Linked DNA regions of Rhinolophus ferrumequinum. The protein of the gene in region 2 interacts with the protein of the main gene of each other region in a biochemical or structural test. Links are inferred from orthologs where the notes say so. Each region holds a gene or a part of one and is shown on either strand. Other genes may lie near its edges. The genes, in order: TEC and DOK1.

Region 1 (3,904 bases), on a different chromosome or scaffold from region 2:
TTGAACTAGGGCAGAAACAAAAAGACAAGACCAGATGGAGGCAAGTTTGAAGATGAGGCAACAATTAAGCCCCTCTCTTCTGGGCTTCTTTCCAACAAAGCTATTCTTATGGCATAATCACATGGTACAGGGTAATTTTCCTATTGCCAGTGACCATGGACCAATTTTACTCCTTTCTCACAGGTCTGAATGCCCAATTTATGACCCTAAACCAACCAAGGCAGCTGGCCCCCAAAGCGGTTGATCTGGGTTCAACCTGGGTTACTCAATTTGCCTATGAAGACTGGATAAGAGGAGAGCATAGTAAGGGATCTGAAACAAGTGACACTGTCATCAACAGATATTTACTGAGCATCCTTAGCAAACCCAGCACCAGGCTGAGGATCAACTCGCCTATCAACTATGTGGACCAAGTCACCCTGCCCTGAACAAAAAGGTGATTCTCCCTAGGGGTGGGAATCTGGGATGGATGGAGTGGGGTGGAAGGGATAGGAAGGATGGAGAAGGAGCTGAAAGAGCTGGGCCAGAGAGAGGAGGCACCAACTAGGTCAACCTGGAGAAACCTGCAGGCTCAGAGGCCCAAGGCCCAGGCTCCTAGCACTCTGAATACTCAAAGGAAGGCAGGGAGACCAACAATTCTTCCCCAAGCATAAAAGTGGCCAGACACCACCCACAATCCCTCCAACCACCCTGTCAAGGGCCAACTTCAGGAAGCAAAAGTCACGATTCTCTGAGCTTTACCATAAGATGACAAAGCAGAGTCCCGGCCCTTCAGTAACTAGCTGCTGAAAAAAACATTCTTATTCTTGATACAGAATAAGGGAAACATCAAGTTAAAAGTGCTAGAGCATACATTAATATTCTATATTCTTTCCTATTTGAGATGTGAAAATTTTAGTTCAAGGACCTACTTGCGGCAAAGGTATTGCTGACTAGAACACAGTACTGATTTGCATGTGTGTAACACTTGCCTTACAGTTTCACTTGCCTTACACAGTTCCACAAACCAAAATGTACACATCCTTGTGAGAAGACTCCAGATCATTAACACAAACCCACTGCAATAAGCATCATGACTTGGCAAGTGTAGTAATATATTGATCAGATGAACTGGAGCATGGGGAAAGTATAGGTCTTTCCTAGACACGTGAAAATGTCACTAAACTAAAAACTAGTTTCAAATACTTAATGAGAAAATTACACACTTCTTTTCTCCATATAAATCATAACATTCCGTACTGCATGAGATTCTTCCTGACTAAGGAGCTACTAGTGTCACAAATTAACCTGACAAATCTTGAACTTATTTTGGAAACCCACTTGTTTGTAGGGGTTGATTTTTCCTCCCCAGCTCTTTAGGGGAGAATCATCTGGAAGAGAGTTAATTCTCAGAATTTCCTAAAAGGAAAAATAGGCACTCACTGGGGAAAATGCAGGGTATATGCTCAAAAAGTAACTATTTTGGATAACCTTCAAACCCACTTAGCCTCCAGCCATCCAATTAACACCGAGATCTACACTTCTCATCAAATATGCCAGTTTCCAACGAATGGCAGTGGATGAGACTGTTTCCAAACCTGAATTTAGGAGTTAAAGTGAATACTCCTGGGTCGATCAAGGCCCTAGTTTTAATGATATACTCCCTGAACCCCTGTTTTCAAGATTTAACTACAATTTCCCAGACTAAAAGAAAGAAAAAAGTGTGAAGTTGGTGGGGTGAGGCACTCGGACCCGGGCAACTGTGGAATACCTGCGTCGCTTCTGCCAACTTTCAATCAAGCCTGCGCTGCCGCCCCAGCAGAGAGGAGGAATCTACCCAGCCACGCTGCTGGGAAGCGAACCCAGCCCTGAACTTGCCGCGAAGCTGCCTCGGCCCCGGGACCCCGGGAGAAAGGGGCGGACGCTCCTCGGGAGAGACCAGCGCCGGAGCCCCGGAGGCGGAGGGGCGGCGGCCGCCGAAACGGCCCTACCTGCGCCTTCTTCCTGGACCGAAGAGGACAGGATCCCGCACTGGCGTGGCGCGTCACGCTCACCGCGGCGCGGAGGTGGGGAAATCCCTCCTCGTTCCACGATGGTCAGTCTTGGTTAGTCTCGAAGCACGTGGAAGCCACCTCTCACCGCACGCATCCCCGTCCCGACCCTTCCTCGCCCGAAGTCCTGCAGTCCCCGGGGTGCCCCCGAGGGCCCACGGCGCCCTTACCTGGCAGGAGAGCGCAGGCTGCGCGGAGCCGGAGAGAATGCGAGGTCTGGCGGGCGCGGCGGAGTCCGGAGCTCCGGGCCTCTCAGCCCCGCCCGCGACCATCCCGCCCCGCCCCGTCCCCCGGTCGCTCCGCCCCCGCTCCCTACCGCGGGCGGCGATCGGCTCCCACCGCCCTGCCACGGTTTTGAGACCCGAGGCCTGAGTTCCGGGGAAGTCGCAAAAGTGTCCCCTGTGTTCCCGAACGACACGCAGGGACTCCCTAGTCCCGGGCTTCCTGTCCCGGAGAACCGCCCCGCGAGAGCTCGTACATCCCTGGCCTGGGAGCACCCAGAGCGGTGCCACCTGTGGGTTACTGGTTACTCTGTCGGAATTAGGGACCACACCTCCTCTTCCGCTAAGCGGTGGGGGGCCAGGCGGATGACAGGGCAGTGGAGCGAAGCGACGAGCTTTACCAAAAGAGTAAGTCTTCACTGTCACACCTGAGGCCGCGGAGGATATCTGACACACTTAGAGGGCCACCTGCACTCATGTTCATGTATTAACACTTCTGTCAAACTCATTGAAGAGTAGAAATCAGTACTTATATAAAACTGACACTGTGCCAAGCACTGTTCTACATACTTCACATATATTACCATTCTATAAAGTACGTATTTGTTATCAGAATCCCTCATTTTTACATGTGGTAAAAGGGAGGCGTAGAGGAGAGTTAAATAATCTCCAGAGTCCGCACCCTTAACCACTGCTATCCTGACTCTAAAATCTGAGTGTCTACCATGTCCCATGAACTCTTCCAGGCTTAGGGAATACAAAACAGGGCTCTGCCCTCAAGGAGTTCTATTCTAGTGTAGGGAGAAAGACAGTAAGTAATCAATAAGCAAGTAAAAAGAAAACGATTGCATATGTGGGAAGTGTCTTGACTAAAATGAAGCTGAGTGATAGAATTGAGAGTGAAGGGGGAGGCCACTTTAGATCTGGTGGTCCTGGAGGCCTCTCTGAGGAAGTGACCGTGGAGCTGAGAGCTGAATGACAGAACCTGGGCAGTCAACATGAAGATGAAAGGAATGGCAAGTGCACTAATAGTTATCATACTTCATGCCTGTTTGGGACTTAAAAATATACCTTCCTATAGGCTCTCCTTTAATCATGCAATAAACCTGAGAAGAAATCTGACAAAATTCCATTTTATAGAAAAAAGAAATCTAAGGGTACAGAAGTTTAATGACTTACTTAATTAGAAAAAGCAGGGGTTTGCGGCCAGGTGGCTCAGGTGGTTAGAGTGCGAGCTCTGAACAACAGGGTTGCCGGTTCAATTCCCACATGGGCCAGTGAGCTGCACCCTCCACAACTAGATTGAAAACAATGAGCTGCCGCTGATCTGCTGGAGGGCCGGCGGGATGGCTCAGTTGGTTAGAGCGCAAGCTCTCAACAACAAGTTTGCCGGTTCAATTCCCACATGGGATGGTGGGCTGCGATCCCTGCAACTAAAGATTGAAAATGGCGACTGGACTTGGAGCTGAGCTGCGCCCTCCACAACTAGATTGAAGGACAACGACTTGGAGCTGATGGACCCTGGAGTAACACACTGTTCCCCAAGATTCCCCAATAAAATTTAAAAAAAAAAAAAAAAAAGCAGGGGTATGCGAAGAGGGCACGGATTTGAACCAAGGCCTTCTAACTCCAAATCTTCTTTCACTCCGGTGA
Region 2 (3,904 bases):
GACCAGGCCTCAAGCTGGGTAGGGGGGATGGGGTGGGATTGCCCAAGCCTCCTGCCAACATCACCACCACTGTCACCGGGCAACCGGAGGCCAGGGCACCCTCAGCTCCTCAGCCAAGGCCTGCCCCCTGTCTGAGGCTGAGAACAGACCCTCTACTGCAAGCCCCCGCAACATGCTTCCCCTGACTCAGACAAACAACCCAACAGGGCAGCTTTGTTCTGGGGACATTTTGGATTGGGGGCCCAGGGGTAGGGCTTCACCGAGGAGTCCCCAGCCTTAGGGCCCTCCCTGCCGCCCTATTCGGAAAACCCTGCAGGGCCCCCTCCCCCCAAGTATCTGTGTCCTCTCTCCACTCTTCTCGTCTCACTCTTCTTTGACAATAATAAAACGCTCAGCTGGTGGACTTCCCCTCACTCCATCCCACATCACCCATTTGCCCTGGTCCCTCCACCATCCTCTCTATCCGAAACTCCCTTTGCTCCCGCCGGCAGCTTGACTCCCCTACCTTTGGCTGAGCCGGGGGCCCTTGGGGCTGGAAGAAGATTCCTGGTCCTGGAGATCAGTTCTGGGACTTCCAAAAAAAAAAAAAAAAAAAGCTCGGCCAGGGAAGACTGGACACCCCCTCCCCTTCGTCCCTCCCACGTCCCCTTGAGCCCTCCCACATTCCGCCTTCTCCCTGGATTCCTCCCAGGCCAGTTCCCTCCTCTTGGACCTCCCCTCCCTGGTGGAGCAAGCTGGCTGCAGTCGTTCCATCTCCCCCGACTCTCGTGTCCCCCGCCCCCTGCACCTCCTGGCTGGCTCAATGAAGCTTTCTTTTCCCGCGGGTTGGAGGACAGGCAGCTGCTGTCAGGGAGCTGGACAAGCTAGAGGCCACTGGGCCGCACACCGGCCCGGGAGGCGGCCCCTGTGGCGGCGGGAGGCCGCGGCTCAGCTCGGGACTACGGGAACCCTTCCAGTCCTCAGCCCCCAGCCCTTCCCCCAAAGTCCCAGGCACCACCGAGAGTAAACAGCCGGGCTGGGGGCGGGTCCGGTCGGAGGGCGGGAACGGAGGCCCTGAGGGCCCACGGGGCCCCTGTGGGTGCCCGTCGGCATTTTCGAAGTGATGTCACGGCCTTCACTTTGATGTCACGTTGAGCATATGACTTGTACGAAGCGCCCAAGCCCAGGCGCCAGGAGCCCTCTGGCCGAAACCGAGAGGTTTCTTTTAGTGAAGACACTTGTGCACGTCCCAGGACTGTGGGTAGGGGCCTGGAGGGGGTGCACCGCCCAGCTAATCTGGGGACCTCCTCTCCTTCCTTCTGTTTCCCTCCTTCCCTCATTACGGTCCGCAGGGTCGGGGCAAGGGGCGGGAACGCCTGGGTTGGACACGGCCCCGCCCCGCCCCGCCCCCGCCCCGCCCTCAGGCCTCAGGGCCAGGAAGCGCGGAAAGAACCGCCCGGGGCCATGGACGGGTCTGTGATGGAAGGGCCGCTCTTTTTGCAGAGTCAGCGTTTCGGTACCAAGGTAGTCGGGGGCAGGGGTACCGAACCCCATCAGAACTTAGGGGTGGGCGATAGGGCCCAGTAAGAGGGAGTAGGTGGGTTGCGGGTAGGAGCGCGGCGCCAGGAGCCGGGAGCCCTGAGACGCTCCCGCCGTCTGCCCGCCTTGGGGTACGCCCTCACTGGTCTTGGGGACATCCAGCGGCATACTTTTCGGGAAACTTCGTGCCCGTCAGGAAGCCTCAGACCCGAAAGCGGCCTCCGCTGGTCCCTCCTTTCCGTCGGGGCCGGCCGCCGGCTGTCGCCCGCTTCTTGCCCAGCGTCGCTTGCTCTCTCTCCTCAGAGGTGGAGGAAGACCTGGGCCGTGCTCTACCCGGCCAGCGCCCACGGCGTAGCGCGCCTCGAGTTCTTTGACCACAAAGGGTCGAGCTCTGGAGCGGGCCGAGGGGGCTCGCGCCGCCTGGACTGCAAGGTGATCCGTTTGGCCGAGTGTGTGAGCGTGGCGCCGGTGGCCGTGGAGAGTCCCCCGGAGCCTGGCGCCATCGCCTTCCGCCTGGACACTGCACAGCGCTCCCACCTGCTGGCGGCCGACGCGCCGTCCAGCGCCGCCTGGGTGCAAACGCTGTGCCTAAACGCCTTTCCGGTGAGCGGGCCGGGGCTGCCCACGAGGGGCTGGGGAGAGCCGCACTGGGCCCCAGAGGCGATGCGGCGTGGGGGTAGTTACAGAGGCAGAGGAACTGGGCTGGCCCAGGCCCTGGGGACCGCGTTGAGGGAATGATAGGGTCCTCAATACTCTCGTTCTCTTTATCCCAGAAAGGCAGCCGGCCTCTGGCGCCTGCCGAGAACCCACCCAAGCTTTCTGCCCTGGAGATGCTGGAGAACTCGCTGTATAGCCCCACCTGGGAAGGTAGCCGCCTGAGAAGCTGGGCAGGGGTGGGGTGGTGGAAAGGAAGGGTGCCCCTAGGAAGGGACTGATTAGGGGTCCAGAGACCCACGAGGAGGGAGGAAGTTCCTGAGAGCTGGTTTCCTAGTGAGTGCTGGGAGAACCACGCCCCCACCTCCTCGGGTGTCAGTCTAATTGTGTATCTCTTCCAGGATCCCAGTTCTGGGTCACTGTGCAGAGGACTGAAGCGGCGGATCGCTGTGGCCTGCATGGCTCCTATGTGCTGCGAGTGGAGACTGAGAGGCTGGCTCTCCTGACCGTGGGAGCTCAGAGTCAGATACTGGAGCCACTCCTCTCCTGGCCCTATACTCTGTTGCGTCGCTATGGAAGGGATAAGGTGCTGGGTTGGGGGTGTGTGTGTAGGATGGGGTTGCTGTCAGGGAGGATTGGCTTCCTGGGGCTGGGGCTGTGGATGGGGTGGGGGCAGGGCAGGAAGGTGGAAGCTCTGCCCTCTGGATAACCCTTGCCTAGTCTATGAGCCCACCTCCTTCCCAGCTAGTCTTGTCTTTGTAGGCCCCCTAACTAGTTAAGCCCTGTGATTTACCTCCCCTGATAGCTTCTGATAATGTGTTTCCCCCCATACTCTCTTCAGGTTATGTTCTCCTTTGAGGCTGGCCGCCGCTGCCCCTCTGGCCCTGGAACCTTCACCTTCCAGACGGCACAAGGAAATGACATATTTCAGGCAGTTGAGACAGCTATCCAGCTGCAGAAGACCCAGGGCAAGGCTGGTCAGGGGCAGGAGGTCCTCAGAGCTGACTCCCAAGAAGAAGTGGCAGAGGGGAAGCTGGCTTCCCTCCCTGGCACCCAGGAGCTCCCCGGCAGCCTTCCAGCCCTGTATGCTGAACCCTTAGACTCCCTGCGCATTCCTCCAGGTCCTTCCCAGGATTCCCTATATTCAGACCCCCTGGACAGCACCCCTGCACAGGCAGGGGAGGAGGCACAGTTAAAGAAAACTATCTATTGGGACTTGTATGAGCATGTGCAGCAGCAGTTACTGAAGACCAAGCTGAGAGACCCCAAAGAGGACCCCATCTATGATGAACCTGAGGGCCGGGCCCCGGCCGCTCTCCGGGGTCTTTATGATCTGCCTCAGGAGCCCAAGGATGCATGGTGGTGCCAGGCTCGGGCGAAGGAGGAGGGCTACGAGCTCCCCTACAACCCTGCCACTGACGACTATGCCGTGCCACCCCCTCGGAGCACGAAGCCCCTCCCAGCTCCCAAGCCCCAGGGCCTGGCCTTCCCTGAATCTGGTGCTGCAACTGGCAGTGGCAGCAAAGACCACAGCTTATCAGACACTGCCCTGTACAGCCAAGTCCAGAAGAGCAGGGCCTCAGGGAGCTGGGACTATGGGCTCCCTAGAACAGGGGCCGACAGGACTGGGGTCAAATCAGAAGGCTCCACATGAGAAGTAGGGCAACGCTGGGGTTGCTGATAGGAGGACCATGGGGATCAAAGAAACCTGTTAGAACCAGTGGAAACCAGA

What was found.
Region 1: of the proteins of DOK1 (region 2) and TEC, one has a biochemical effect on the other in vitro, tested with the Homo sapiens proteins (2 studies listed by BioGRID, with this or other methods). The link is inferred for Rhinolophus ferrumequinum from reciprocal best matches to the Homo sapiens genes DOK1 and TEC.

What each region holds. Positions count from the first base shown.
Region 1 is NC_046288.1:8,158,794-8,162,697, reverse strand, and holds the start of TEC (tyrosine-protein kinase Tec), read right to left. Parts: upstream 2,322-3,904; 5' UTR 2,303-2,321; coding exon 2,201-2,302; intron 1,771-2,200; exon of another isoform or gene 1,751-1,770; intron 1-1,750.
Region 2 is NC_046296.1:17,510,226-17,514,129, reverse strand, and holds the start of DOK1 (docking protein 1), read left to right. Parts: upstream 1-1,368; 5' UTR 1,369-1,443; coding exon 1,444-1,503; intron 1,504-1,688; exon of another isoform or gene 1,689-1,813; intron 1,814-1,821; coding exon 1,822-2,121; intron 2,122-2,291; coding exon 2,292-2,385; intron 2,386-2,573; coding exon 2,574-2,758; intron 2,759-3,013; coding exon 3,014-3,826; 3' UTR 3,827-3,904. UniProt on the Homo sapiens protein: DOK proteins are enzymatically inert adaptor or scaffolding proteins. They provide a docking platform for the assembly of multimolecular signaling complexes. DOK1 appears to be a negative regulator of the insulin signaling pathway.